Linked DNA regions of Astyanax mexicanus. The protein of the gene in region 2 interacts with the protein of the main gene of each other region in a pairwise test. Links are inferred from orthologs where the notes say so. Each region holds a gene or a part of one and is shown on either strand. Other genes may lie near its edges.

Region 1 (15,813 bases), on a different chromosome or scaffold from region 2:
TAATACATAATTCCTTTTGGTTTTAGAGAGTGGATTTTACACACTAGAAATGAAATGCTACAAGATAGCAATTTAATATTATCTACCATTTTTAGGGGGGAAAGAAGTTTTGTATTGTGTAATGTCTGTGTAATAAAAAATAAAATTACTAAAATTACTAAAAATGTAATTTGCTAATTCCGTTTTGTTTTCGAGAGCAGATTTTACACACTAGAAACTCAATGCAATACAATACAAGATAGCAATTCAACATAATCTACCATTTTTAGGGAAAAATGATTTTGCATTGTGTAATTTATGTGTAATAAAATAAAAAAAAGTTGGAATGAAACTCTTCCATTGTTCATAATCTGCATAATCTGTTATTTTGTACAAAGAAGCAAAAGGTGCTTTAATAAAACAACACATACAAAGATTACAAGGAACTGCTGCAAAATGTGTGTGAAACTAAAAGTACAGTAATACTACTTAAGAATTAAATTGGCCTTTACTAGCCTTATTCCATTCCAGCTACATTATGATGGTCTACAAGTTGCCGTAATTAAGGAGTTTTATATTAAGAGACATCATGAAATTAAACATCAATTTGAAAAATCTTAGTTTACACAACACTGTCAAAGAAAAAGATAGTAAGTCACGTAAAATGGTGTTTAAATGAAATAATCAGGAAAAAAGTATTATTTAAAGTGGTTTATTTCATTATTTGTCTGTGGCCCGTGACTTCATATTTATTTCTTCCTCTGGTCCCCAACAAAAAAGTTTGGACACCCCTGGACTAGACATTCAATGCTACAAGATAGCGATTCAACATTATCTACCATTTTTAGGAAAAAGGGAGTTTTGCATTGTGTAATATTTGTGTCAGACAAGGAACTGCTGCAAAATGTACAGTAATACGTCTTAAGCATTACATTGGCCTTTACTGGCCTTATTCCATTCCAGCTACATTATGGCAGTATACACCAATTAAATATATGACAAAGGCCAATGTCCAATGTATCAATTCTGCTGTTGGACTTTAGTATTACAGCTCATTTCAACACACTGACACTCACACTGACTGTCTTAGAATTCCAACAAATAAACATGGAATGAAATTTCAATGTTAGGGGAACTAATTTGGCCTTTAATTATTAATTTTTGTTCCTGGATTCATGAAAGCCTCAGCAATTACTATTTTATGTGCTTTAGTTTGTGTACTTTAGTGTGACAAACCAATTACGGAATATATAAGAACTACAATACATCTAATATGTAAATAACCACACCATAATCATAATAAAGGGTTGACTTGTACCCTGACTCTGAGCGAATTTAGCCTTCCCCATTTCCTCACATTCTCACATTGTGCTTAACATTCCAGGCCTGATGATGCTTAAGTCATCAGAATGTGGCTTTCTGTGGAAGAATTTGGACTCCACATGCACATAATATCATACAGGGTGACAGCAGCCAATCTGGAGATGGAAAACTTTTAGACACCTGACTTCTCAATACCAGATTTGTGTAGCTTGAAAGGGTACACCCTAAGAGTTGAGTCTCTTCCAAGGAAAAAGTAGAAAAGCAACAACATACCTTTCTAAGCATGGTGTTGGGAAGCTTGCGAATCTTCTCCACATGTTCAGCACTAATGTCCAGCTCACGACAGCAGACACGCAGCAGTGCCCGGTATGTCAATTCCTGTCGGTCTAGCTCCACTTCGATAAAGTCGTTTTCTCTGGCATGAGGATTCTGGATACGCACCTTCAGGACCAGCTCTGATGGAGAAGAGGGTGCTCGAGTTAATCACTAACTAACAGCAGCACTAAAGCATCATCGGTTCAAAATAGATAGCATAGTTCTAGTTTAAAAGGCAAAAGGTTAAAAACTTGGCTGCAGGCGATTAGTAATAGCATTGTAGGATGAGGCCTGTTGTCAGTGTGCTAACACTGTGGTAGTGATGCTGGACAACTTTTAGCTAGCGTGCGGGCACTGCAGTAGCGATGATGGATGAGGCCAGCATCAGAGCTGGATAAGGGTTGCTAGGCAACGTGCTAACAATGTGGTAGCTGGTGTGCTAGTGCTGCAGTAGCGATGTTGGTAGCCAACATGCTAACACTAAGACAGCAATGCTGGAAGACAACTGCAGTGCATATGCTAAAACTGCAGTAGTGATTTTGGATAAGGTTGCTAGTGCAATGTGCCAACACAGTGGTAGTGATGCTGGACACCCTGTAGCCAGCGTGCTAATGCTTTGGTAGTGAAACTGGATGAGTCTAGTAGGAACAGGGGTGTAGCAACAAATTATGGGCCCTGTACACTCTCAATGTCAGTGGGCCCCTATTGGTCTCAGTACACAAGGAACATGAGCGGAATAAAAATCTGGATTTTCATGGGCCCCCCTTCCCTACTCGGGCACTGGGTAGTCAGGGTAGTAGAAAAAAAATAGACAAGGCCATTAAATTATATGGGATTAGGCCTGTAGCCAAGATGCTAACACTAAGCTAGCAATACTGGATGATCCCTGTAGCTGGCATACTAGTGCTACGGTGGTGTTGTTCAAAACAACTGGTAGAGATGTGAAATGAGGCCAGTAGATACTTTGGTAGTAAAAGTGGATGGGTCAAGCAATACTGAATGATACCTGTAGCTGGCATACTAGTGCTGCGGTAGTGGTGCTGTACGAGTCTGGTAGCGATGTAAGATGACACCGGTAGAAAACAAGCTAACACTGAAGTAGCAATGTTGGAAGATACCTGTAGCCAGCGTGCTAATGGTTTGGTAGTGAAACTGGATGAGTTTATTAGGAATACTAGATAAGGCTTGTGATTATACGGGATGCTAACACTAATATAGCAGTACTGGATGACTGCTGTAGCTGGCATAGTAGTGCTGCGTTAGTTAACACTGAAATAGCAATGATGGAAGACACTTGCACCCGGCATGCTACTGATTTAGAAGTGTTGCAGTCGTTAATGCTAAAACTTCTCCATTGGCATTTGGTTAGAATCTTCCATTTTGCAGGTTAGCATGCTAACTGATATCTCACATTTCTACCCTGAGTAAAGATTAGATTTAGCAACAAAGTAAAATGGAAAAAGAAACTGTAACCTGGCCTTCGTTACCATTTAAACTTGCAGTGGACAAATAGTCGAAAAGACTCCCCAACCCATCACATACCCTGCACGTTGACTGGAAAGGTGCCGGTGAAGAAGAAGGGCTGGAAAGCAGGCATGGAGCCTCCAGACTGCGAGCAGTTCAGCTGCTGGGGCAGAGACTGCTGTCGTGTCACCGTGGGGTTAGAGACGGGCGCCTGACTAGGGGCCGCACCTGGCGAGGGTAGCGGGGGGCACACGGGGCCATTCTGGGAAATTGTGTGATTGTGGGTGTATTCACTGTGGTTGCTGTGGTGCGCCTCAGGTGACACTTCCATGGAGAGGGGTCCATTCACCACCGGGCTTGACACAATGCCGTTCTGCTCCACCACAGAGATGTAGGACACCGCCGGCTGGCTCTGGGGCGGCTGCTGCTGCTGCTCTTGTGTGGGAGAGAGAGTGGCTGGCTCAGAGTCTACAACCTCCGAATGGTCAGCGGTGCCATTCTGAGAAACATGTGGTGGTAAGTTTAGTTCCTCCTTATCCATCTTGCTGTACAGGAAGGGCGGGTTGGAGAGATAGTTCGGAATGATTGGCAGCTCTGGCTCTTTTACCTCAGGCACATCCTCCTCCTCCACTGTGGAGAGAGAAAGACGAGAGTGGATTGTGTCAGCTTAGACAAAAAAAAATGCATAGCATGAAAAGAAAAGCATAGCAACTGTAAAACTGTAAAAACTGAAATCTTGACATTTGTGTATATATACGTACCTCCAAGAAGTCTTCTGATTTCAGGTTTGGAGGTTAATTGAACAGCTAACTCATCTTTCGCAGTGAGTATTTCTTTGTCGGCTCCAGAGTTCAGAAGATAAGCCACTATGTGCTTGTGGTTTCGCTTGCATGCCCAATGTAGGCACGTCCTAGGTTTAAAGGAAAAAAAAATAAAATAATAAAAAGTCAAGTAAGGGTTACATAAAGAAGTAGACAACTAGCTAAAATAGAAAAATAAAAAAATAGCTAAACTCTACACAAACCTGCCGCAAACAAGCACTGGATAGAATAAAGCCTGTTCACTCTTTAGTTGTATAAGGTGGATTTAAGCAAATGTTGGCAAGCTGCTTAATTGGATAACCCAAAGCTGTGTCTATTGCTAGCTTCCAGGGATCACAAGCCACCACAGCCAGTCAGGACTCAGATCTATAAATGTAATCTTAGTGGAATGTTCACTAGTCAGAATTACCATTGAGTTGCATGTAATTTCACTCTCATAATTTTTTTTTATTAGTTACAGGTTACTTTTTTGACTTGTAGAAAGTGTACTTCAAGATACCTACACTGCAAAATTAAATGTAAAGGAAACAATAGCTTGAGCGTCACTTAAAAATAACCAATAAAATATGAAATTGTTATGTAAAAGAGAATCACTTATATACAGCTCTGGAAAAAATAAGAGACAACATATATGAGTTTCTTTGATTTTACCAAATTGTAAGCCTCTGGAATATAATAAAGAGGAAGATGGATGATCACAAACCATCAAACCAAGCTGAACTGCTTGAATTTTGAAGGAGAACATGCCAAGATGCATGAAAACTTAAAACAAGGGTTATTCCACCAAATATTGATTTCTGAACTCTTAAAACTTTATGAATATGTACTTGTTTTTTTTTTTTTTGCATTATTTGAGGTCTGAAAGCTCTGTGTCTTTTTTGTTATTTCAGCCATTTCTCATTTTCTGCAAACAAATGCTCTAAATGACAATATTTTTATTAGGAATAGAATAAAACATCAATGTTCATTTTACTCAAATATATCACTATAAACTGATTCAGAAACTGAAGTGGTCCCTTAATTTGTTTCCAGAGCTGTATATGGAACAAAAGTCGCTACTTGCAAAAGAAGTAATTTGATATGTAATCTATAACTAGAGCAAATAGTAGTAAAAATTTAATTATAGATTAAAAAGAGAGAGAAATGCGATGCAAATGAATAGTAACTAGTCAATATTCATTTAAGGAAATAAGGATATGTGAAACTGGTCTAGGCAGAATGGACTATCATTTCAGCTGATATTAACCAGTAAACACTAGAAATAAGACTTATTACCAGTTTAAACTTGATTACAGCTTGTGTCAGTTGTATAATTAAAACGACTATAGCTATGTTAGCCACAGAGCTAGCCTGCTAGGGTGGAGCTGAGGATTTACAGTGTATTTCCTGTTTAAAGACAAATACAACAGTGCTGGATAATAGTGTAACCTGGTCTATAATGTCTACAGCACCAGATAAAGCCATTTAAACACATTAAACTGCATTTTAAAGCAGAATAACAGCTTATTTAACACCTACCAGCCGTTGATTTCGTTCTGAGAGTTGATGTTGACGCCGCTCTCCACCAGATTCCGCACTTCATCAATGTCTCCGATAGCGCTCGCCTCTCTCAGCCGCTCCTGCAGCTCTCTGTCTAAAGACGAGGTGGACATAATTCAGATAGTTAGCGATTAACTTTCATAAGAACGGGGGAGATTTAGTGAACCGGCGGCTGAAGCTAGCTTAGCTTAGCTTAGCTGGGCTTTCCCACCGAGCCCTCATCAAATTAGCTAGCCGGGATAGTTAGCTAACAGCTATATTAGCTAATAAACCCAAATTAAACCCATAAGCGCCCCTACTAAACCCTTCAGGCGACCGCGGCGCTGTTTATTACTCAAACTATCCTCCAGTTATAACTTTATTTCGGCTGTTTCAGCAGCAGGCTAATTATTATTACCCTCCCCGCACTCGCTCAGACCCCTGTCGGCTCTGCCCATTATGGGGGTCACTTTACAGTGTGACAACACGAGCCGCTACACTGGGTTCCTATCTAGACTCCTCTACTAAACTGAAGCTCTTAAGCTAAAAAAAACAAACTGCTCTTTTTTACGACATATTTTAAAGTTAAATTTCAATAAAAGGCCGATATCCTCCCGATATTGTATTTATCTCAGATACTCATTTCCTGTTTTATTTACAAGCATTAACTAACTGTCGTAAATAGCTCTTTATTTTATTTTAGTAATTATGTATTAGTATAATAATAATAATAATAATAATAATAATAATAATAAAGTCCTAATTTATAACTTGCATTAGCTACCTGTCATAACTAGCTACCTATTTTGTAATGTATTCTAGTTTATTTAAGTAATAATGTATCATTAAATAATGTTATTATTATTATTATTATTATTATTATTATTATTATTATTATCGTTATTATTATTATAACAACAATATTAACAATAATATTAATAATAATAATAAAAATAATATTAACAACTATTATTATTATTATTGTTGTGGTTTTTAAGTCCTAATTTATAACTAGCATAACCTGTCATAACTAGCTAGCTATTTTTTAATGTATTATATTTTATTTAAGTAATAATTTATCACTAGATGATGATAATAATAATAATAATAATAACACAATATAAATCATAATAATCATATTATTAATAATAATAACAGTAATAATAATAACAACAATATTAACAATAATACTATTATTAATAATAAAAAATAATAATAACAACTATTATTATTGTTGTTGTTATTAAGTCCTAAGTTATAACTAGAATATCCTGTCATAACTAGCTAGCTATTTTCTAATATATTATATTTTATTTAAGTAATAATGTATCACTAGATGATAATAATAATAATAATAATAATAATAATAATAAAATCTATAATAATAATAATAATAATAATAATAATAATAATAATAATAATAATAATAATAAAATTCTTAGATTTTACGAACAGTGTTATGTTCATTTATAACAAAGAACAAAAGAATACAGATAAAACGGCTTCATATAGGAACTGGACCAGTGACAAAAACAATGCAGTAGGAAGTTTAGCAACAGAACAAAACAATAAACACGTGCAACTCCCAGAAAGAAATCCTTTATAAAAAGCACAGTAACAGGAATGGCGTTTAAAATGCAATGTTACCGCCCTCTGCTGGACTTCATTCAGGTTCTGTTTGTCAGTTTGGGATGATATACAATATTCTCAAATGTGTCTCTTTAGTGATCAGATTTGTACCTGTTTTAATGCGTCTCAGACCATCTTCTGAAGTGTTTTGAGTGATGTGATTTGTATTGGTTATAAATGTGTAAATCTAGAAAATGGATCAACACAGTGTTATACATTTAGATGTGAGTACTACAACAGAAAATCTGTGATATATGTTCATACAGTGTAGTTTGATAATGTTACATATTACATAAATATAAAATAAGAAATCAAGTAAGACCATTTGCAGTGAATGCTGACTTTAATACAGACAAAACAAACTAGACATTTTCTCTTTTAACCACAACAGAAACTTACAGCCCACTTCACTTCTGATAGCCACTGTTTATTAGTGTTTATTATGAAAAATACAATAAAATGTCTGTCAAAAAAGTGTGAGTACAAGCAGTTCCAGCTAACATTACTCCATTAAAGTGCTCATGGCAAAAATATTAACTGTATAACAATCTGGTAAAGCAGAGAATGGCATATTGTCATGTAAAACTATATACTATTGTGCAGCACCTCTTGTCTATCCACCTTATTCTGCCAAGAGTTTGTTTCTTCTGCATTTGTGTTAGAATATCCGGTCATAGTAATTCATATTAATTGCTATTAATTTATTTCAGTAATTCAGTTCAAAATGTTAAACTCATATATTATTTAGATGTATTAAACACACAGAGTGATCTATATTAAGCGCATATTTCTTTTATTGTTGATGATTATGGCTCACAGCCAATGAAAACCCAAAAAATAGTGAAAATTAGAATATTATATAAGACCAATTGGTACTTTTGGTTGGCAGTGTGGGCAGTGTGCCAAGTCCTGCTGGAAAATGAAATCCGCTTTTATCTCCATAAAAGTTGTCAGCAGCAGAGGGAAGCATGAAGTGCTGTAAGATTTTGTGGGAAAACAAAACTGCACTGACTTTAGACTTGATCCCTTGACTCTGCTCCCTTGATTTACAAATGAAATGTAAAATGTACTGATTATCAGTGATGGTTTGGAGAGGCATGTCTGTCATCTGCTGGTGTTGATCCACTGTGTTTTATTATCAAGTCTAAAGTCAGTGCAGTTTTGTTTTCCCACAAAATCTTACAGCCTTACATTATCCCTCTGCTGCTGACAACTTTTATGCAGATGTGGATTTCATTTTCTAGCAGGACTTGGCACACTGCCCACACTGACAAAAGTACCAATTGGTCTTATATAATATTCAGATTTTCTGAGACATTGATTTTTGGGTTTTCATTGGCTGTAAGCCATAATCATCAACAATAAAAGAAATAAATGCTTAAAATAGATCAATCTGTGTTTAATACATCTATATAATATATGAGTTTCACATTTTGAACTAAATTACTGAAATAAAGTCACTTTTTATTGATATTCAAACATTTTTAGATGCACTAGTATAAGGGAAGCTGCGTCTGTGGCTGCTGCACCGGAGGATTTGACACAAATCAAATAAACATGGACCCTCCTTGTCATCACACAGAATAAGCTGGATAAAATAAATTTTATGTTTTTAAAATATTAGCTAAATTATAATCATCTTAAACCCATAATTAAAAAACACCTAAAACCTTATTTGTCATCAACGACAGGGAAACTAAGATTACTGGTGTTAAGAAAACTGTCATGAACTGTGAATTAAGATTATCGTAACAAACCTTTGTGAAGCTACTCAATACATGATGCATAATATACAGCTCTGAAACAAATTAAGAGACCACTTTTGTTTCTGAATCAGTTTGTCTGCTATTTATAATTTTGCTATTTATAGGTTTATGTTTGAGTAAAATTAACGTTGTTGTTTTATTCTATAAACTACAGACAACATTTCTCTCAAATTCCAAATAAAAATATTGTCATTTAGAGCATTTATTAGCAGAAATTGAGAAAGGTCTGAAATAACAAAAAAGATGCAGAGCTTTCAGACCTTAATATTAGGTGCAATAACCCTGGTTTTTAATCACAGTTTTCATGCATCTTGGCATCATGGTCTCCTCCACCAGTCTTACACACTGCTTTTGGATAACTTTATGCATTTACTCCTGATGCAAAAAATCAAGCAGTTCAGTTTGGTTTGATGGCTTGTGATCATCAATCTTCCTCTTGATTATATTCCAGAGTTTTTCAATTTGGTAAAATGAAAGAAACTCATCATTTTTAAGTGGTCTCTTATTTTTTTCCAGAGCTGTATGTAACATGGTCCTTTGCTACAGAACTATACACAAGAGAAAACCTTTATTATGAGCAATGTTATACTACCAGTCATACTTGTTTGTAACCTTATCCCTGCAGTTACTATGATTTTGAGGGCGTGTGGTCAGGAGACGATGCTTTCACAGAAGGAAGGCGCTCTGCTGCTTTCACTCTCTCGGCCAAGAATCGGTCAAACTCTGCAAGAGAGACAAAGAGAATGAGAATGATTTATTTCTGATGATGTTAGGCTTTGTTCACACAGCAAAGTTAAGATTTTCTCAACAAATTCAATGTTTGCCAATGTTTTAGGCTGTTAACACAAGCATTTACTGTGACTTGTATCCTACATTCATTTAAACTGGGCTAAAGAGATGCGCTTCACGTGAAGTTTCGGTTTCATTTTCACTTTCTTCAGCATCACAGGAGCGATCGAGGAGTTCCAGTGGCTGCAGCTTGGGATGAAGACTGAGAATTTGCTTCAGCTCACTGTAAAAAGGGCACATTGTTTGATTTGCATCCTTGCCCCCTTTAAACTTTATTTTACAGGCTTTTTATCTCTCTCAGACACGCCACATTCAGACATTTCTTCAGAAATATGGCGGTGTTGCAACACAAGCCGTCGAATTAAGTTTAAACAGAGATATTGCCCCAAATATTGGGATGTTACCTCATTATCACACCTCTGAAAACCTCATTTACTGCTGTCATTCTTCTCCTGTGTACTTAAGCACACTTTTGCTTTGTCCTTAATTTAAAGATCAAACTGATTTCAAATCTAGCTGTCCAGACAAAGCCGCATTATTGCAAATTGGATGATGTCAGATTCAGTGTATTTTCAGCCATATACAGGGGTTGGACAATGAAACTAAAACACCTGGTTTTAGACCACAATAATTTATTGTCCTGACGGACAGTTCTGGTGCACATCTGGTTTTATGATTTTTGGATACAATCCGGGTTAGCACCCGAACATCCCTTTCAGACAGCTTCCTCTTACAGCGTCCACAGTTAATCCTGTTGGATGTGGTTGGTATTCTTGGTGGTATGCTGACATTACCTTGGATACCGTGGCTCTTGATGCATCACAAAGACTTGCTGTCTTGGTCACAGATGCTCCAGCAAGACGTGCACCAACAATTTGTCCTCTTTTGAACTCTGGTATGTCACCCATAATGTTGTGTGCATTGGAATATTTAAAGCAGAGCTGTGCTCTTACCCTGCTAATTAAACCTTCACACTCTGCTCTTACTGGCACAATAATGTGCAATTAATGAAGATTGAACACCAGGCTGCTCCAATTTAGCCATGAAACCTCCCACACTAAAATGGCAGGTGTTTCAGTTTCATTGTCCAACCCCTGTATATAACACCTCTCTGTTTTATGCCACTTCTGCCTGCTGTGTGAATGTGATCTAAAACAGTGTTTCTCAACCATGGTTCTGGAGTTTTTACTGCTCCCAACACACCGGATCCAACTAATCAGATGACTAGCACCAAAATGTGCAGGGCAATAAGCCGCCACACCAGGCTTGAAAAACAACAATCTAAAACACAAAGCGAGTACAGTCTGTAGCCTATGCAAAAATTTGATATTACTGCCAGTTTCTATGCAAAGCAGTAATGTAGTTTACATTGAGGGAGGATGGGTTAACCCTGCTATTATCTTTCAATAATAGCAGTTTAACTTCTTTAAATAAATGATTGCTCTGATTTTTTTCTCATATTTAGTGACTTTTTTATATTAATTTAATGAGGCCAACTGGGTAAATATAAAATGAACATGATGACATGTTTCCAGTATCCTGTACACATTTTGCACACTTCAATGTTTAATGGGTTCTGTTTGAGCCCAGGCAGTTTTAGCTGTATAAAACTTTTTTTTTTAAATCAGCAAAATTTACACACTTTCGCTTTAAAATGTTGAAAAAATCACTATGACATGCAATCTTATAATCTTTGAAAAACTTTACAGCCCTAACCTGACATCACCACAACTGGAAAAGTGCGAGAAACACGACAGTTCACACAACAGGGGGCGGGGAATACATAATTCATAATTCATACATAAGTGGTAGTGCAGACATATAGAAGGTTTAGTGCAGCCTTCTAAACCATTTCTCCTAGTGCTCTGTCTCTCTGCTCTCTTAACTGAAAATAACATCTAAGTAAACGTTTTTTTAAAGGATATTTAAGTAGTCAACAAACAAATATAGCATGTGACATAAACTTGTGTAACAATTTAAATTATTATATAAGAATTTTCAGGAGATTAAAATTGCTGGTGTCAAATTGACCCAAGAATAAAAGATAGTAGTAAAATTGAAGGTAACAGAAAGGTTTAAAAAAAATATATAAATATCCTCTTGAGACCCAGCGTCCTCATACGAGGACATTACATTTCTGCTTCTCTACACCAGTATACTTAATTTTTTAAAAGGTTGACCCTTTAGATTAATATGGAGACACCGCCTGCACTATCTAGTGGTCACATGACAACATTATAGTTAAGTGATTGAAAACAAGATGGCGGGAATCCCAGTCAAAAGTTTCTACAGCCAGTCCAGACAGACACATAAAATTCTAATGTCATAGAATTTTATATTTGAAACTATGTTATTTACTTTCTGTACAAAGCTAATTTTGTTTTTACTAATTGGGTCCTGCTGATCCCAAATGGCAAGGATATATTTTAAAATGTTAATATGAGCAAATACATGTTTTTTTTTTTGTTGCATTTTTTGAGGATATCACATCATAATGCAAAAAAAAAACGCAATGATTTTGAATGATTCTGGGATTAATACAATAAAATATGTTTTTTTAATATGTTACGTTAAGCTGACATTTAGTTAACTATGCAATGGTACTATAATACCATAATAAATGCAGTTGTTCCGTGCTATTCTCAAAAAAAGCTTATTATTCTGTAATTCATCAATTATTAATTAATTTACTTACTGTATAAAGTCTTAGCATCATACTGGCATCATATACAGCATTAAAGCTTAATCCTAAACAGAGTGCACAGCTCCTGGAGGGCTGTGTAAGTTTCTAAGTTGGCCTACTCAACCACACCTGATTCAACTCCTCAGTTAATCACCACTTAATTAAGGAGGTGCTGGAGACCAGCCCTCCAGGTCTGGAGTTGTGCACCGCTGGTCTAGAGATTAATTATTGTATACTACGGTTCCTCCGGTTTAAATACAATACAGAAAAGTGCAGTAGAAAAAAGGATGGGCTCTACCTTCACTAGTCACACCTTCAGAATCTGCCAGTTCGTCATCCTGCACCACAGAGAAAAAAAAAAACAGAAATAATGTTTCGGTTCTTCCAGAGTACACACACCACAAAACCCATGAGTAAAGAGAAATTAACACAATCTGAAATCACATCTTCAGGACTGATCCCATGGCAGAACATTTACGCTCCCCCTCATTTCCTGTTAGCAAAAACTATGGAATTCCAAACATCCGGTGGTAAACCAGCATCTAACTAAATTGCTTGATAACTACCGTATTTTTCGGACTATAAGGCGCACTTAAAAACTTTTAATTTTCACAAAAATTGACAGTGCGTCTTATAATACGGTGCGCCTTTTGTATGGATTTTACTCGTCAGGTTGTAAGGAGCAGTAAACACACACTCCGTGCAGCGTTATAGAGAGTTTCAGTGCTATACAGAGTCCAGAGCCGTGCAGCTCCGAGGCTGAGCAGCAATAGCATTAGCTAGATGCTAACCGCTAAGCTAGCTAGCTTATTCACTGAGATCAGTATTATCTAAATTTTACTCGTCAGGTTGTAAGGAGCAGTAAACACACACTCCGTGCAGCGTTATACAGAGTTTCAGTGCTATACAGAGTCCAGAGCCGTGCAGCTCCGAGGCTGGAGCAGCAAATAGCATTAGCTAGCTTATTCACTGTTCAGAGATCAGTATTATCTAAATTTTACCCGTCAGGTGTAAGGAGCAGTAAACACACACTCCGTGCAGAGCAGCAATAGCATTAGCTAGATGCTAACCGCTTAGCTAGCTAGCTTTTTCACTGTTCAGAGATCAGTATTTTCTAAATTTAGCACTTTTAATACTGCTGGAGCAGTATTATTAGAGTTAGATGCTAATCGCTAAGCGTTCACCGTTCAGAGGTGAGTTATCGGCCTGTAAGTCTGTGCTGCTTTGCCTGGCTAGCATTAGCTAGATGCTAAGCGCTAACTCTCTCAGAGGTGAGTTTTATCAGCCTGTAATCTGCTTGTTTACCGTGTTAAAACAAGCTACGGGGGACGAATCGCTAGCTAATATCTCACTGTCTTACCAGAACACGCAGGATTACTCAGTGTAACGCTGTCGTTTAAGTTTGGGTTAACTTTACTAGTTTAGGTGACTAGCTAGCGTGCTAGCGGATAGCTATGCTAACGCTGGTGCAGCAAGCCTTAGTGGACATCTGGAAATCTAAGCTTACTGTAAATAAACTGAAGCACGTTACTCACCCAAATAAACAGTTTTCAGGAGAGGAATCTGTGTAGATTAATATCCAGCACTCGTTTGACTTTGAAAGAGCTAGATTTATATATACTGAGACGCTCCACCGGCAAGCGACCACCCCCGGTGGGGGAAGGGAAACATGGCGCCACCCCTGTTCACTTTGATATAGGCACCCTTTCTAGTGTCACTTAACGCGCCTTATAATGCGATGCGCCCTATGTATGGAAAAATAGCAGAAAATAGGCGTTCTTTGATAGTGCGTCTTATAATACGGTGCGCCTTATAGTCCGAAAAATACGGTACATTTACTCAAACCTTTATTACCTAGGCATTTTTGTCAATTTTTGCCTATATCTTTAGAATTCATATTCAAGCATTACATCAAAGGGTTTCATGCTTGTTACTAATCCTAACTGTAATAGAAAATATTTGTACATTTTGTAAAGTAAAGTGAGGAAAATATATGAACAAGCTGCGACTTAGCAAGTTCTCCCCCTTAGAAATCATGGAGGGATCTGAAATATTCATCTTAGGTGCACGTCCACTGTGAGAGATGTAATCTAAAAAAAAAACAAAATCTGGAAATCACAATGTATGTTTTTTTTTTTATAATTATTTTGTGTGTTACTGCTGCAAATAAGTATTTGAACACCTGCCAATCAGCAAAAATTCTGTCTCTTAAAGAGCTGTTAGTGCACCTCTAAAAAGTCCATCTCCTCTCCACTTATTATTCTAAATAAGAAGCACCTGTTTGAGGTCATTAGCTGCATAAAGACACCTGTCCACCCCACACAATCAATAAAACACCAACTACTAATATGACCAAAAGACCAAAGAGCTGTCCAAAGACACCAGAGATAAAATTGTAGACCTCCACAAGATGGGAAAGGGCTATGGGGCGATCGCCAAGCAGCTTGGTGAAAAAAGATCAACTGATGGAGCAATTATTAGAAAATAGAAGATTTAAAATCTTAGCATGACTGTCAATCTCTCTCGCATTGAGGCTCCATGCAAGATCTCAACTTGTGGCAAATCAATGATCCTAAGAAAGGGGAGACAGTTCAAGTTGTCAGATGAGACCAAAATAAAACTTTTTGGTCTTAATTCCACTCGCCGTGTTTGGAGGACGAAGAATAATGACAAAAACTCCACCATCCCTTCTGTGAAGCATGGGGGTGGAAGCATCATGCTTTGGGGGTGTTTTTTTGCACATGGGACAGGACGACTGCACTGTAAAAAGGAGAGGATGACCGGGGCCATGTATTATGAGATTTTGGGGAAAAACCTCCTTCCCTCAGTTAGAGCATTGAAGATGGGTCGTTGCTGGGTCTTCCAACATGACAATGACCCAAAGCACACAGCCAGGGTAACCTATAAGTAGTGGTTCTGTAAGAAGCATATCAAGGTTCTGAAGTCTAAACCTTATAGATAATCTCTGGAAGGAGCTCAAATTATGTGTTTTTCAGCGAGAGCCCAGAAACCTGTCTGATCTGATCTGGAGAAGATCTGTGTGGAGAAAAGGGCCAAAATCCCTGCTGCAGTGTGTGCAAACTTAGTGAAAAACTACAGGAAACGTTTGACCTACTGTACCAAATATTTTAACTCTCATTTTCACAGGTGTTCAAATGTGTATTTGCAGCAGCAACACACAAATAAATTATTACAAATAAAAAAATATTATTATTTTGATTTCCGGATTAAATTCCAGATTAAATTCAGTTCATCACTCACATCGTCCACATCAAGCCATCGCTCAATGTCATCCATCACTCCACTCTGATTGACTGGAATCTAAAAAAGAAATTAGAACAAATAAATGATGAGAGCCATTGTTGAATAGGGAATACGAAGCTCCCTCCACCTTAGGATTACCAAAGCCCCTGGAAAGAAAAAGTGACCCGGAATTCACTGTTGTTTAAAGCTTCCCAAAGCAGGACAATACAGCAGATTGCAATCTTCAAATCAATCAATTTTCCATCAAAGCCTTATTATCTAA
Region 2 (16,346 bases):
TCACTCACCGATTGAAATTGGACTGCTGTAGCCATTTCACACACTCGCTCTCAGGTCTTACATAATGCATCTTTAAGTAAAAACCAACACTGGAAAAATAACACATATGTTACTTTCGAACACAAGGACAGTTCACTAGACAGACCATTTCAACCTGGTCAATTAGTACCCTTCACAAAGGTTTCCCATGCTATTCCCGGCTGACTGCAGATCTAACCTAAATTCACAGCACATAATTTATCTAAAGAATGTCCAAGTTTGGCTAATTGGGATGTGTCTTTGGGTGTAGAAATCTGCAGGAAAGTGACTCTCCTGTAAAAGGGATTGGAAACCCCTGGTCTAGCTGTTGGTTCATAAGGTGCAAGGTGTTGAGTAAGGCATTGCTGTACAGTATTTTTGGATGCTAAAGTGTTTCTTGGCAGTTGCAAAGGTTTTCAAACAGCTCTCATGATGTAAAATTATCCAGCCAGGTTAATACAGTTGCCCCATCAATGGTCATCAGTCCCTCATTCAATTATTTGGGAATCAAAATGTATCCTTCTTTATCAAAGGTAACAAAAGAAAATTGTGATACCTTAATGCATAAGTTTCATGTGAACCTCTATCCCTGGAGCTAAAGGGCTCACTTGCAGGTAGAATTTCAGTGATCAAGATATCCTTACACCACCCTCCCCCCTTAAAGTTATAGATAAAACATGCTAGAATCAAACAGACTACTCTGATGACCCCTCCACCATATTTTACAGGGATGAGGTGTTGATGGTGTGCTGTGCCTTTTTTCCTCCACACATAGCATTGTGTTCTCCTTCAAAAACAACTAAATTTTGGTTTTATTTATCCACAGAATATTTAGCCAGTACTGCACTGCGAATGTTACCATGTTATGCTCAATAAAACCATGCAAAGATAGATTTTTGTGTGGTATTAGTTTAAGAAGACTGTTTGTCTATTGATGAAGATTAGAACATATTTAATTACCAATTCTTACAGAAATCCAAGTAATCCCAAAGGGTTCACATATTTTCTTGCAACTGCACTGAGGAAGCTTTGATCAAACTTCATAGGCTGCCAGGCTTACCATATACTGGTAATACCATATACTTGGACAATAACAATTAAGACATTTTGACGCCCAGACTAAAAGTAGAGCTTGGCGATATGGCCCAAAAAACATCTACGATTAAAAAAAATCTATTTTTTTAATTTTCATCCATTTTTTCCCCCTACTGAAAATCAAACTACAGATGATAAAGAAATGGTTAAAAAAGTTTATTTATTTTGTTTTCACTTAAATTTCCCATTTGTGGTTTAAGTACAACCACAAGCAAGCAAAAGACATTTGTAAACAGTGAGAACATCTAGTAATTTTTAGAAAGCTTTCTCCAACCTATTTTAAGTACCGACACAATGCACCGTCAACCTCAACCTCAGGGATGTGTACTGAGCCCCCTGCTGTTCACTTTGATGACTCATGACTGTGTCCCTAGGTCTGCCACTAATCACATTGTGAAGTTCGCAGACGACACTACAGTGGTGGGTCTCATCAAAGATGACAACGACCTAGCCTACAGAGAGGAAGTCGACCTGCTGGTGGGTTGGTGCAGTGCTAACAACTTGATCCTGAATGTGGATAAAACAAAGGAGATCATCATCGACTTCAGGAAGAACCAGCCCAGCCATACTCCTCTCTTTATTAACACCATGGCTGTGGAGGTGGTCAGCAGCGTAAAGTTCCTAGGGGTGCACATCACAGACAACCTCACCTGGTCTGTAAACACCATGTCACTGGTCAAGAGGGCCCAACAGCGCCTGCACTTCCAGGATATAAAAAAAAAAAAAAAAAAAAAAAAAAAAAACCACCTGCCCCCGCCTATCTTCATTACATTCTACAGAAGCACCATAGAGAGCATTTTGACGAGCTGCATCTCTGTGTGGTGTGGAGGCTGTTGCGCCTCTGACTGGAAGAATATGAGGAGAGTGGTGAGGACAGCGGAGAAAATCGTTGGGACTTCTCTTCCCCCCCATCCAGGACCTTGCATTAGTACGCTGCATATCACGAGCGCACATCATCAGTGACCCCTCACATCCTCACTATGGTCTGTTTTCCCTGCTGGCTTCTGGAAAAAGATACAGGAGTATGCGGTGCAGGACCACCAGGTTCTGTAACAGTTTTTTCCCCCAAGCTATTAGAATGTTACTCCTAAACTCCTAAAACCTTGGTCAATTTAAGAAAACTCTGAGTACTAGTTATTTACTTTTTCACACTTTACATATTTCTAACTGCACAAGTCACTTTATTTATAGATATTTATGATTCTATCATAGAGGTGTGTATATATTTGAAGATGTACATTGTGTATCTATGTGATATATCTATACTTAATATTCATGCTGCTAAATGTATTTATTTTTCTCTGTATTTTTGCGAGTCAATTCAACGAAATTTAATTCTGCATACAGGAGTGTATTAAGAATGACAATAAATGAAGTCTAATCTAAGTCTAAATAAATAAATATCCTCAAAAAACAAATAGAAATAAATAAATGATAATTATTTATAAATATAAATAATTGATAAAACTGACTAAATTGAAAAGTAGTATAATTTAATATGCTATTAAGATAAGACTTTTCCCTAAAAAAAAAAAAAATAAAAAAAAAAAATGGTATTGTCCCATCACTAGAGTCCATTTTAGAGAGTTTGTCTGGATGAACGAACACACCTAAACACCCACACCCCCACACCCACCTGGGACACCGGTCTTAGCAATGGCTGCAGCAGCATGATCCTGAGTGGAGAAGATGTTACAGCTGGACCACTGGACCTGAAGAGGAGGGGTAAACATATAAAATCAGCTTAAGTCTGTCAGTTTTTAAATTCAGTTGCAACTTCAGGCTCCTGCTCTCTTACATGCTTGCTCATTTATGAGAAGTCTGTTACTGATAAACCAGCACAGCACTGAGGCTGGAAAATCCCAGTTCCACAGGGAAACCAATGAAAAGAGTAACAAAGAGACTCCTCTCATGATTTTCATAACATACCAGCAGATCCTTAATAGTTTCACTCCTAGTCACTCACTCAGAAATTAACACAAACCATTACCTATTAAATATAATTACAGTTTCAGAACACAGAGCTAATAATTTATTCTGCCATGAGCCTAAACTTCACTTTGCAACACTGAGAAAGTATCTATTAAAGATACTTTAAAAGTTTCTATTAAATTGACTCAATAGGGAATCTGTGTTGTCAACATTAATCAGCCAGAAACACATATACAAAACTCTTTTTTAGGGTTTATAGGTTGTTTCAGAATGACGGGTATGTTAGACATTTGAATATAGGTCACCTATTAAATATATAAAACATCTTAAGAGTAATCAATGTATTACAGTGTGGATTGTATACCCGCTAGTCTTGAGAGCCTGTAAGTGGTGAGCAGCTGTTTATTATGGTTTACGTGTCTGTTTTAAGCCCAACATTAATATAATTTTAAAACTAATTATAAAGAGGTCTCTGGGTAAGGCTCTCTGGGGGTTTACAACTCTAAAATCTATAAACCAGGTCAATATTATGATCAGGATTAGCGCTCACCTCGGCTCCGAGTGCAGTGAGGGTTTCGATCAGGACAGCGGTCTGAAGGGTCATGTGTAGACAGCCGGCAATACGAGCTCCTTTCAGAGGTTTGGTTGGTCCATAAACCTCCCTCATCTTCATCAGCCCCGGCATCTCATTCTCCGCAATGTCAATTGCCTTCCTCCCCCACTCAGCCAGGCTTATATCAGCTGCATACACACACAAAAGAACCATAAAGGAGAGATAGTCTGTTGAAGTCTGAAAAGTATGGCCAACACAGACTGAATCACAGAATGGAAAAATAAATAATTTGCAGACATTCAAAGTGAAGTTAAAAGATATAATTTAGGACTGTGCAGAATTCAGAGTTTATATTCTTTGAGCAAATTATTATTTACTTTCAAATTCTCCTTTGGAGCATTTCTAATGTTCTTCAGTCTAGCTAATGTTATTAATGACATCTCACTACTGACGTTTTCTCTCCTTCAATAAGTTACAAGACCTATAGGTGCTAGAAGTCTGTCGTTGAGGAGAATATCCTTACTTGAGTAAAAGAAGACTACAGACAACATGCTTTTTTGCTTTTTAAAATACGTGTTGTATTTGTTTGTGCACTTGTTTTAGGGTCATGACATTGGCAACTTAGGTCATCTTCACTAAATGCATTTTGTATATTTATGATTGGTTAAGGACAAATATTGGTAAGAGAAGCACAATTATGCAACTACAACATTTTAAATTACAATAGCTATTTTCACACAATGGAGTCATACTTATATTGGACAGAGAGCACAACAAAGTTGCATTTTAAAAGAATTTCCAGACAACTTAGTCATCTGATTCAGTCAGTAATCAGAAATTCCTTATTTCCACTATAGGTAACTAGCCATTTAAATAGTAAACGGAATAACTTAAGTATGGGAGGAGCAACATGCCCTGAGCCCCGACTCATCTAGTGTCCTATAAATACCTTCTACATAGCTTAAGTTTCAAGTCATCTCACCCCTTCATCATCTGGTGGGTTGTGTGCAAGTTCAAACCTAGTCTAGTTGTAACGTAACTGTATACTAAATTCACACTTGCCCATTACTAAATCAAAACAGGTTGCACCACAAAAACTAGTATACATGTTAGAGCTAGTAGCTACTAACTATTTACACCTACACCACCTAACAGCTGTAAGTTGTAACTGATCCAATGAAAACAATCATATGGCTTGAAGCTTTGAGCAGGATTAATATATATATATATATATATATATATATATATATATATATATATATATATATATATATATATATATATATATATATATATATATATATATATATATATATAAAATAAAACAAGATAATGCAAACCTACATATATATATGTATGTACACATATATAGTGCATGAAATATTACAGATTTATTTTATTTTTGCATTTTTGTCATACTTACATTTTTCAGATTGACTGATTAATAAATCAGACAAATATAACCTGGGTAAATATAAAAAAAACACTTTTAAATGATTTTATTTGAGGGAAAAAACTATCCAAACCAGTCTAGCCACCCATATAAATTAACTATGATTAATCACACTTTTTTGAAAGCTGGAAAGGTCCATTTCTTTACCCACAACCAGGCCTGATTACTGTCAGACCTGTAGACTCAAGAAACCACATTATGCCACAACTGAAGAAAAAACATAAGAAAACAGTCATTGACCACAGTGAGAGCCATTATTCACAAATGGAGAAACCAGGAGTGGCAGAAATTATTCCAAAAGGGCATGGACAATTCATCCAGGAGGTCACAAAAGAACCCAGAACAACTTGCCTCAGTTAAGGTCAGTGTTAATTATTCAATAATAAAAAAGAGACCGGATGAAATGGTCTCTATGGGAGAGTTACAAGGCAAAAAACACTGCTGACCAAGAAGAACACAATGGTCCAATCTTACATTTACCAACAAACACCTTGATGATCTCCAGGACTTTGGGTAAACAGCCTTTGAACTGATGTGACAAAATTTGAACTTTTTAGAAATTGTGTCTCCTGTAACATGTGCCGTTAAACTACCACATAATCTCAGAACAAGAATTTTATACTGAATGTAAAACATGGTGGTAGTGTGATGGTCTCTGCTGGACAACTTGCTGTAATATATGAAACCAGGAATTCTGCTGTTTACCAGACAATCCTTAAGAAGAATGTGCAGCCATCTGTTTGTCATTTCAAGCTCTGCAGTATTTGGGTTTTGCAGCAGGACAAAGAATGAAAGCACACAAACAAATGCATCTCAGAATGGTACAAAAAAAAACAACAATGTTTGGTTTGCAAAAATGTTTTCGAGTCAGCTAGTCAAAATCTGAGATGTTGTGACATAATCTTAAACAGGCTGATCATGCTTCAAAACCATGCAATGTGGCTGAATTAAAACAATCCTGTAAAGAAGAAGATGTGAAAGACTCATTGCCAGTTATTGGTAAAGCTTTACTGCAGTTGTTGCTGCCATGGGTGGCACAACTAAATTATTATTAGGGGCATTTTTTTACACAGGGCTAGATTGGTTTGAATGTATATTTTTCCCCTTTAATAAATAAAATCATAATTTGAAAAGTGCTTTATGTTTATTCAGGTTATTTTTGATAATGTTTATTGATAAAGAAATTATTTTGCAATATAATATAAAATTACAATTAAATATAAAGCATGTTTAATTATCACAGTGAATTACAAGATGGCAGCCTCCACCTAATGATAAAACGTGTGTTTTTTAATGTTTAGACAGTGCTGCACTCAGTGAACTAGCTATTGCAATTCCGACCTTCGTGGCGAGGTGGTGCTGTAATGTACATAGACCAGTTCACCCAGAAAAACACATACAAAGAAGACTCTGCCGTGAGCCGCACATAAGAGCCTTTTTTTTTTTAAACACGCGTGTCTTTAACTGACTTTAACTGATTTAAAGTAAACCGGAGACCCATCTCGGTTCCTCTCCTCATCCACAAATATGCAAAATGCAACTAAGGCACAGACCAGGTGTGTGTATTTGTATTAGGCGTAGTGCACTATGCACATAAAATAGCACGATATTACCAGTGTTAATAGTTTTACACGCACTTTTAAGAACTTTAACTTTCAACCCCATAATAATAATAATCATAATATTATTATTACAATAGGTCCCCAACACTTTTAGAATGTCACCTTATTTCTGAAAGCTGATCTCTGGACCCTCAATCCAGCCATACAAAGTCCAACAAAAAAAATTAACCAGTTACACATTCTTTCATCTCAGTGTTGCTTGACACAGACTTCTAATAGAAAAAGATCTGGTGATGTAATCGATACAATCAATACAGCCAGCACAGCACCTTCATCTTATCATGGGACTGAAACACGACATGTGTTCAGTCTTAGTTCAACCACGTGTCCATTAATACTCTGAGTAAGGTTTCAAAACTGTCCGCTAATGCTGCCTTCAGCTCTACCTCCGACTTGAACAGTTCAACAGTTCCTTTAAACAGTTTACGTTTTTTTGGTCGGGAAAAAAACATTAACACGATAAAAAATATATATTTTCTCGTCTACTTTAATAACAAAACTGCAAACACATACAAACTAAAACAAAGTATGAGGATTTTGGAAGCGATATTTTGATCCAGAAGTAGTAATATGTAACGTTACTTGATTTTGACGTTACTTGATTTTCTCACGTGCCACGATAAAAACCAATAAAAACGGACTGCAGCTGCTGTTAAATCAGCGCTGTTTATTGACACGCCCCCAACGCGTACATTCGGGGTTTATGAAAAATCCCAGTTGCCCACTGGTCAAATGTGGTGGTGGGGTTTATGTGCACTCGTCTCGTAAGCGTTTTCCGACAAGACTTGAAGAAACAATAAGAGTTCAGCATTACAGCTTCATGGGAAATGTAGTTCCCTATGGCTGAGAGACTGATCCGCAAGAAGTGTCACTGTGTGCACAAAGAACTACAACTTCCAACATGGGTTCCCCGCACTGCTGCAAATGAAAGCATGCTCTCTGGAGAAGTGGCTCATCGTTTAGTGTGCACACACACGTTTTGAATGTGTTTCTGCAGGTGTTTAGTGTAATATGTAGCGTCTAAATTAAAAATAATATAAATACGTAGCTGGGTAAGTGCAGGGTTGCGAAGAGAGAAAGCCGGATTTGTTAGTATTTTACAAAAGTTATCTAGCTGAAATGTTTGTAACGATATAGATATTAGCGAGTAGAACAATACACTCATTATTGGTTAAATTCGATATGATAAATCAATTCGAGCCTCACAATAACACAACTAACATTAGAATAATCCGTTCCACCTTAAATGGTGAAGCGGCTGCATTCTGGCGCCCGAGACAGATCAGATTAAAAGACAGCTCCGTTGCTTTTGGAGTGAAATCAAAAGGTGCATGTTTACGAAGCATTTCCAAATACTGACCGACTTTGAATGGCAGCTTCTCGGACATTGTTGGATGATTTTCTCGCCGCTGAACCGAAGTCCTGTCCCGCTTACTGACTTCTACAGAGAGAGAGAGGGGAGCAACGGAACCGGGAACTTGAAGAATCTGTTACCGCCTTTCGCTGAATATTCATGAGAGCACACCCCCAGACGCCACGCCTCTTTTTGCTCATTGGTTTATCCACACTCTGAGGTGGCCAATAAATGTCTTACGTGGGTGGTGGGTGTGGATGGGTTTTGTCAAATCCTGTACCATTAAATTTTAAACTTCTTCGCATTAATTTATGACTGTCCAGAAAAAAGAGAGGTCTCTGCACTTACAGTCTGACTAGTAAAAGAGCAGTTTATTATATCTACAATTACATGTTAAAAGGCCAAAATGGTTTTTAAAATACCTAAAATGACAATTAATGTAGTAGTGTCAAACAGTTAAAAACACACATATCACATAGTGATATATATATATATAGTGGATATTTAAACAAAAATAAAATAATGAATGTAAGATTAATGCAAAATTTAACTATATTTATACTAATGGTGTCAATAACTTATAGAGATAGAAAAGGGATGTTGACTCACCGTTGACTGAAGATCCCTTTGCTATCTGGGTTTAACTAATTGTAATTACAACAATATTTTTAGATAAAGGCTAGAACTTTCCTGTATTTTAGGAGGAAGATAGAATTAGGTGTATTGCATGGTATGTTTGGCAAACATGAGATATTTAATAATATCTCAGGATAGTTTTGGTACTTTTTTAAATTGGAGTCTTTTAATGTGCTATGTAAAAGTTTATTGGAGAGATTTAGCATTGAACATGAGGAAGCTTGGACACAGAATATATCCTATAACTGAGGACATGAATGCTGTACCAGTTCGCAGCTCAAAGTCCTTCATAATCTACTTTTAACACCTTTTAACATAGATGGCAGATTAATTAGTAAAATAGGTAGCCTAACTACCTAGCTAATCCAAAAAAGTTTAATTTTAAATATTCATATTCAGCTTTTTAAAATTAGAAATATAAAACGTTTTAAACGTGTCCAAGAATTTCCTGCCCACTCTGTCATCTTGGGATAACCACCCCTTTTAGAAAGCCAAAAGACAGCCTGATGATGGCTAGTTTATTATATATGTTTTTTATATTTCATGTTTCTTTTTTCTTTATTTTTTTTAGTTAAATTGGATGGAGTGATCCAGTCTGTAGTTCAAATTTCTGATGTCTGATGTCTCAAAAACACTGACAACAGCAGTAGTTAAAACATTACAACAGTAAAACATTACCAAGTGTCCTTTCATTCCTCTCTGCTCCCAGAATGCAAATAATTAGTGAAACAAACAGATCCACACAACCCAACTGTAGACCTTTGACCATTCAACTGATATCAGGTCTCTGTGGGTCAGAACTCTCCGTCCTTGTGTGCTCCTGTTCCTGCTTGTTTCGAAATTAGAGAGTGTTTTTTTTTTCAACACACTTATATTTATATAAGGGCAATATTAAAGAAATATTTCGGTATATTACAAACTGTGAACACAGTTCACCATGCAATCAATTAATGCAAGTTAAAGACAAAGCCATGGATCCATAGGATCCAGAAAGGCTGCCCGCCTCTCTAGGCAAGATAGAAACTGTACTGTCAGATTTATCAAAACTTGAGAAACTATTTAAAGCTTTAACTTGCATTTGTGGAGTGTATGGAAAAGATTACTATTATCCAATATCAGCCTTGTCAGTCTTGTCATGGTAGTATGAACTGTATATGGTGGAATAATCAAAAGTCTTTTTATTAGTTGCACATTTCTCCTATTGATTTTTTTAGAGTACCACTTACTTTTCCAGCCTTTTGTTGCCCAATTTGAGCTTTTTATGAAATTGTGAAATGGTTCAATTTCAACATCTGATATGTGTTCCATGTTCTGTTGTGAATGAAACATGGGACTAAGAGATTTGCGTACAGTATGTTAATTAGGTTGTCAGGTAATTTTGATTAAAGGGAAACTTAAAGAGATCAAGTTCCTGGGCTTGAACACAGATGATTTGAGTGAGCAATACATTAAACACTTGATCTGTTAAATGATCATAATGACCCCTGTTTCTTCTATTCTCTGTATTTTGTGATGTAACATAGTAGATTATAATAATTTGTACAGTGTGTTATCTAGGCATTTGTATGGTGAATTGTAGTGCCTTAGAACAATTTAGACAGTAAGGGAACAGTGCTGGCTCTAGTAGTATGCAGTAAAGCAGTTGGTAGGAATGATCTGGCATGGTGCTCTTTAACACGGTGCAGTTGGAGCAGTCTGCCTCTAAATGTGCTGCTCTGATTTACCTGTATGGTGTGTGTTGATTTTATACTGAATTGAACTTTAAATTGAAACTGCCGTGTTTCTTTTTAACAGTGCATTACTGTGTCCAGTCATGCTACAACAACCCTTTCTTAGACCCGCCTGCTAGATCTCTCTGTGACTCATGGGACTTGAAGTTTTCTGTTTAACAGAAGAATAAAAGAATTAGACAAAACCCAACACATAAACCCCCCAGAATACAGTGGCTTGCAAAAAAAATGTTCATACCCCTTGAACGTTTTTCACATTTTGTCACCTTATAACCACACAGACTTTATGAGTAATTTGTATTTTTTTTTTAAATAGGTAATTTTACTTTTACTCAACTACATTGTGACACAAGTAATTTACTTTGCAACATTACTTCGCTACATTACATTACTGAGTAAAAAATAAAATGCTGGGGGGAAAAAACTAATTTTCATTTAAAAAAAAAAAAAGAGTTTTGTTCTTCATGGTAGCGCAGCTGAACTTTTCCCAGCAGTGTTTATTATGGTTAGCGGGAGAGATGCTGTGAAAATCAACTGTACCCGGGGGAACTGTCGAGTTATGCTACCCATTGATATGTGCTTCTTTACAGCACAGCGCATGCGCCAACCAACAGTTTTTTTTTACATCAAATAATTAAAAGTAACTATATTACAAGTACATTTTAAATTGAGTACTTTTACTTTTACTCGAGTAGATTTTTAGATGGGTACTTTTACTTTGACTTGAGTAGAATTTTAGCAAAGTAAAGGAAGTTTTACTTAATTACAATTTTTCAGTACTTTTTCCACCTCTGGTAATTTAGTCTCAGTATAAATACAGCTGTTCTGTCTATGCCTAAGTGGTGGTTTGTTAGAGAACGCTAGTAAATAAAATAATCATGAAGACTAAGGAACTCACCAGACAGGTAAGAGATAAAGTTGTGAAGCAGTTTAAAGCAGGGTAAGGTTCTAAAAACATATCCCAAGCTTTAAGCATCCCAAAGAGCACTGTAAAATCCCTCGTCCAAAAAAAGGAAAAGTATTCTCCACCTGCAAACCTACCAAATCACGACCATTCACCCAAACTAACAGATCAAGCAAGGAGAGCACTGATCAGAGAAGCTGTAAAGAGGCCCATGGTCACTTTGGAGGAGCTGCAAAAATTCACAACTCAGGTGGGAGAATCTGTTCACAGGACAGCTATCATAAGTCATGCACTCCACAAATGTGGCCTTTATGGAAGAGTGTCAAGAAGAAAGCCATTGTTAAAAGAAACATGTGAATTACTGTTTGCAGATGCAGCAAACATGTGGAAGAAGGTGCTGTGGTCAGATATGACCAATGTTGAATTGTCTAGCCTAAGCGCAAAGCGCCCTATGGGGAGGAAAAGTAACACTCAACAGGGTGCTCATCACCCTGAACACACCATCCCCACTGTAAAACATGGTGGTTGCACCATCAATCTGTAGAGATGCTTTTCTTTAGCAGGGACACAGAAACTGGTCAGAGTTGATGAGAAGATGGATGGAGCTGAAAGAAACCTGTTGAAGGCAACAAAAGACTTGAGACTGAGAACGAGATTCACCTTCCAGCAAAACAATAACCCAAAACATACAGCCACATCTACAGTAGTGTGGTTTAGATCAAATAATATTAGTGCTAGAATGGCTCAGTCTTAAATCGCATTGAGCTTCTGTAGCAAGACATGAAATTTTCTGTTCACAGATGCTCTCCATCCAACTTGGTTGAGCTTGAGCTGTTTTATAAAGAAGAATGGGCAAAAATCTCTAGTCTCTAGATGTGCAAAGCAGGTAACCAAACCCCAAAGCACTTACAGTTGTAATTGCAGCAAATGGTCGCTCTACTAAGTATTGATATAAAATATTTTTGCACATCACACTAATTAATACAAATTTTGAAAACCATGTATCATTTTCGTTTCACTTCACACTTATGCAATACTTTGTGTTTGTCTTTCACTCAAAATCTAAAAATACCACAAATGTAAGTTTGCTTGTCTTTGAGTCAGTGAACCATATTATAGCCTAAACAGCACAGCGGAGGGAAAGCTGTGGATTTATATGTCTCTTTGACATTGGCATACAACATATCTAGTGTCTTGTTTTCTCTAATCTTGCAGTCCATAAACTGGCTGTAAGTGGGCAGACATGATGAGAAGAGAGCATGGTTGAAATCTCCAGACACTACAATATGATATATGTAAATACAGTATATGTCATATATGAAATATATGGCCATATATAGTGAAAACTGTATTCATGTATTGACACATACAGTGTAATAAATACTTGTGCGTGTTTGTCACTCTTAAATGTTTCAGATCATCAAACACATTTACACAAAATGCAGTTTTTAATGTAGGTTTTCATTATTAAAAGGAGAAAAAAAATCCTAACCTACATGGCCCTAACTGTGGTTTATCACACCTAAGTTAAATAAGTTTATGTGATTCCAGAGAACCACAGCGTGCTCAGACACGCTGTCTACTGCTCTCACTGAGGCGGCTTGGGGATTATGTCACACGCAGCACCGTGCGCAGTGCCCTAGTGCCTGTATATTTAATGGTCCAATGACGGTAATTTAAAAACCAGGACATTTCCTCACTTTTTGAAAAAAACCCGGGCCGCCCGGGACAGGACGTGAAAAACGGACATGTCCCGGGAAATACGGATGTTTGGTCACCCTACTATAATAAAATATGGTGATGTTAGCATGGTGCTGTGATAAATCAAAAAATCCTGAAGGAGAGTGTCCGGTCATCTGTTTCCTCAAGCTGAAACGAACTTGAGTTCTGCAGCAGGACAATGACCCAAAACACACTAGCAAGTACACCTCTGAATGGCTGAAGAAAAACAAAGGGAACAATTTGGAGTGGCCGAGTCAAAGTGCTGTGGCATGACCTTAAAATGACCTTATGCTCGAAGACCCTCCAGTGTGGTGGAAATACAACAATTTTGCAAAAAGGAGTAGAATAAAATTCCATTTCTGTAACAGACTCATTGCAAATTACTGCAAACGCTTGATTGCAGTTGCAGCTAAGGGTGGCCCAACCAGTTATTAGGTTTAGGGTGCAAAATTTGTTTGATGATCTGAAATATTTAGGAGTGACAAACATGGAAAAAAAGAAATCATGAAAGGTTGACATAAGGTAGTAGAAGATTAATAACACCCTAAAACTAAGATACAGCATGATGGCCATGGTCATACAGAAGTTTTCAGACAGGTTCCTCTCCAAGCAGGCCTCCCCAGGGTTGACCAAAGAAGTCCACATGTTCACATGCTGGTTAGGAGCACCAAGAAAACTGTCTCTTGTCTACTGTCAAACATGGTAGTGGTAGCATTATGGTCTGCGGCTGTATGAGTGCTGCCAGCACTGATAGCTGGCTGTCTGTTAAGTTATTTTGAGGGCACAGCAAATTTACCCTGTAATACAAGCGGTATGTAATATAATATTTACAAAAATGTGAGGGGTGTACTTACTTTTGTGAGACACTTTAATATCACTCAAATATAAAGAAAAAATATTTAAGAGCAAGTTTTACAATAAAAAATACACTTGGCACTTGGTGGGTGAAACCAGACATACCATTATGACTGATCAAAGCTTAGTGGAGACTGGGAGCCCTATCATGCAAGGTGCGCCATGATGCTCATTCCTGCTCATGAGGTGTGTTCAGGTAAATTTCTGGCATGTTGCTATTTTGGCAGCGGAAAGCACAGGTGAGCCACTGACTGAAAAGAACCTAGATAACAGTCAATCGTCAGTCAAAGTCCATTCCTATAAGTGTGCCGCCCATGCCTACGCCCCTGCTCGTTAAACACAAACGTGGTCACGCTACAGAGCGCAAACCTGACTTTAAACTCAACAATGAACAGATTCAAGAATAAAGTAACATTGCTGTTTCCTTAAATAAATTGGTGTACCTTCACAGCGCGAACACACAGGCACTGAGACGCACAAAGCACCTTGCTGTTTAAGATACAAACATGCCAAAGTCAGAGTGCACCTTTCTTAAAGGGAATGAGAACTGGCACACTAATTGGTCTATTTCACATTTCACCCAAAACACACCCATGGTTAATTAAGAGAGTTAGCACATGCCTTTTGTGTGTTTTTAGTCTGCTAAAATAGGGCCCTAAGAGTTAATTGAGTCATAACTCAATAACATTAGAACAGTAAACACAACTATAACTGAAACAAGAGTGCTTTAGTGACCGCAATGCATTATGGGCTATTACAGTGATCACTGCTGTAAATACACTGAACAAAAATACAAATGCAACATTTTGTTTTGTTCTTTTCCTATGTACACAAAAGGAATTTTCTCTCATATTTTGTTCACAATTGGATCTAAATCTGTGTTAGTGAGCACTTCTCTTTGCTGAAATAAACCAACCACCAGTCACAGGTGTGGCACATCAAGATGCTGATTAGACACAGTGATTATTACACAGGTGTACCTTGGGCTGGCCACAATAAAAGGCCACTCTAAAATGTACAGTTTTACAGTATTGTAAAAATCTGCCGTGACCAATACTTGCCTCTCGCAGTGCAACACATCTCCTTTATGTAGAGTTGATCAGGTTGTTGGTCCACTCCTTTTCAATGGCTGTGTGAAGTCGCTGGATATTGGCAGGAACTGGAACCTGCTGTCATATACTATCCAAAACAACTATCCAAACCAATCTAGCCCTTTGTGAAAAAGTGTTTGCCCCCACATAAATGAACTGTGATTTATCACACGTTTTGAAAAGCTGAGTACAATTTTACTATCCACAACCAGGCCTGATTACTGCCAGACCTGTAAAATTAAGAAATCACTTAAATAGAACCTGTCTGACAAAATGAAGCAGCTAAAAGAACAACACATTAAAAACTAATTGAAAAACATATGAGGAAACAAAGTCATTGGCACCTGAGAGCTGTTTCACACTGAATGTTCCAGGAGTGGCAGGCCAACTAAAATCACTCCAAAAAGGGCATGGACAACTCATTCAGGAGGTCACAAAAGAACCCAGATCAACATTAAAAACTGCAAGTCTCATTTGCCTCAGTTAAGGTCAGTGTTAATGATTCAATAGTATGAAACATACTGGGCAAATGGTCTCCATGGGAGAGTTCCAAGGCAAAAAAAACACTGCTGACCAAAAAGAACACAATGGCCCATTTTACATTTGCTAAAAGACTTTGGGTAAATATTCTTTGGACTGACATGACACAAATGAAACTTTTTGGAAGGTGTGTGTCTAGTTACATCTGGCCAAAGAGTCTGCTAAATTTCCTCTACCGAAATGTGAAAGACTCCATGCCAGTTATCGGTGGCACAACCAAGTTATTAGGTTTAGAGGCCAAGCACTTTTTCAACATGCTTTTTATTGATAATTGGAAAAATATCAAAACAACAAAATCTGTAGGGAGGCAAATTTTTGATGCCAATACAGGTGCATCTTACAAAGTTAGAATATCATTTAAAAGTTACTTTATTTCAGTACTTCAGTTTAAAATGTAAAACCCATATATTATATAAATGTATTACAAACAGTGATCCATTTTAAGCATTTATTTATTTCATTGTTGATTATGGCTTACAGCCAATGAAAACACAAAAATAAGTATCTCTTATTAGAATATTATATAAGACCAATCTGTACATTTGTCCTGCTGGAAAATGAAATCCACTTCTCCATAAAAGTTTCCAGCAGAGGGCAGCATGAAGTGCTGTTAATTCTCCTGCTAGAAGCTGTGCTGACTTTGGACTTGATATAACACAGTGGATCAACACCAGCAGATGACATGGCTCTCCAACCCATCACTGACCATCAGAAAATTTCAGACATCAGAGTCTGGAGGAAGAGTGGAGAGACACACTGTCCAAGCTTTTTGAGGTCTAGTGTGAAGTTTCCACAAACAGTGATGGTTTAATTTTCCAAACTGTTGGAATTGTACATTTAT

Evidence for each region.
Region 1: the proteins of ahcy (region 2) and ankrd40 interact in binary tests that used the Homo sapiens proteins (3 or more experiments, as listed by UniProt). The two-hybrid records come from large-scale screens. The link is inferred for Astyanax mexicanus from reciprocal best matches to the Homo sapiens genes AHCY and ANKRD40.

What each region holds. Positions count from the first base shown.
Region 1 is NC_064426.1:37,173,678-37,189,490, forward strand, and holds the start of ankrd40 (ankyrin repeat domain-containing protein 40), read right to left. Parts: upstream 5,902-15,813; 5' UTR 5,555-5,901; coding exon 5,421-5,554; intron 3,992-5,420; coding exon 3,843-3,991; intron 3,712-3,842; coding exon 3,160-3,711; intron 1,758-3,159; coding exon 1,576-1,757; intron 1-1,575. Other genes in the region: tom1 (target of Myb protein 1), read right to left, coding at 9,444-9,538, 12,586-12,625, 15,549-15,608.
Region 2 is NC_064412.1:43,550,181-43,566,526, forward strand, and holds the start of ahcy (adenosylhomocysteinase), read right to left. Parts: upstream 8,189-16,346; 5' UTR 8,062-8,188; coding exon 8,034-8,061; intron 3,787-8,033; coding exon 3,596-3,786; intron 2,826-3,595; coding exon 2,750-2,825; intron 1-2,749. UniProt on the Homo sapiens protein: Catalyzes the hydrolysis of S-adenosyl-L-homocysteine to form adenosine and homocysteine. Binds copper ions.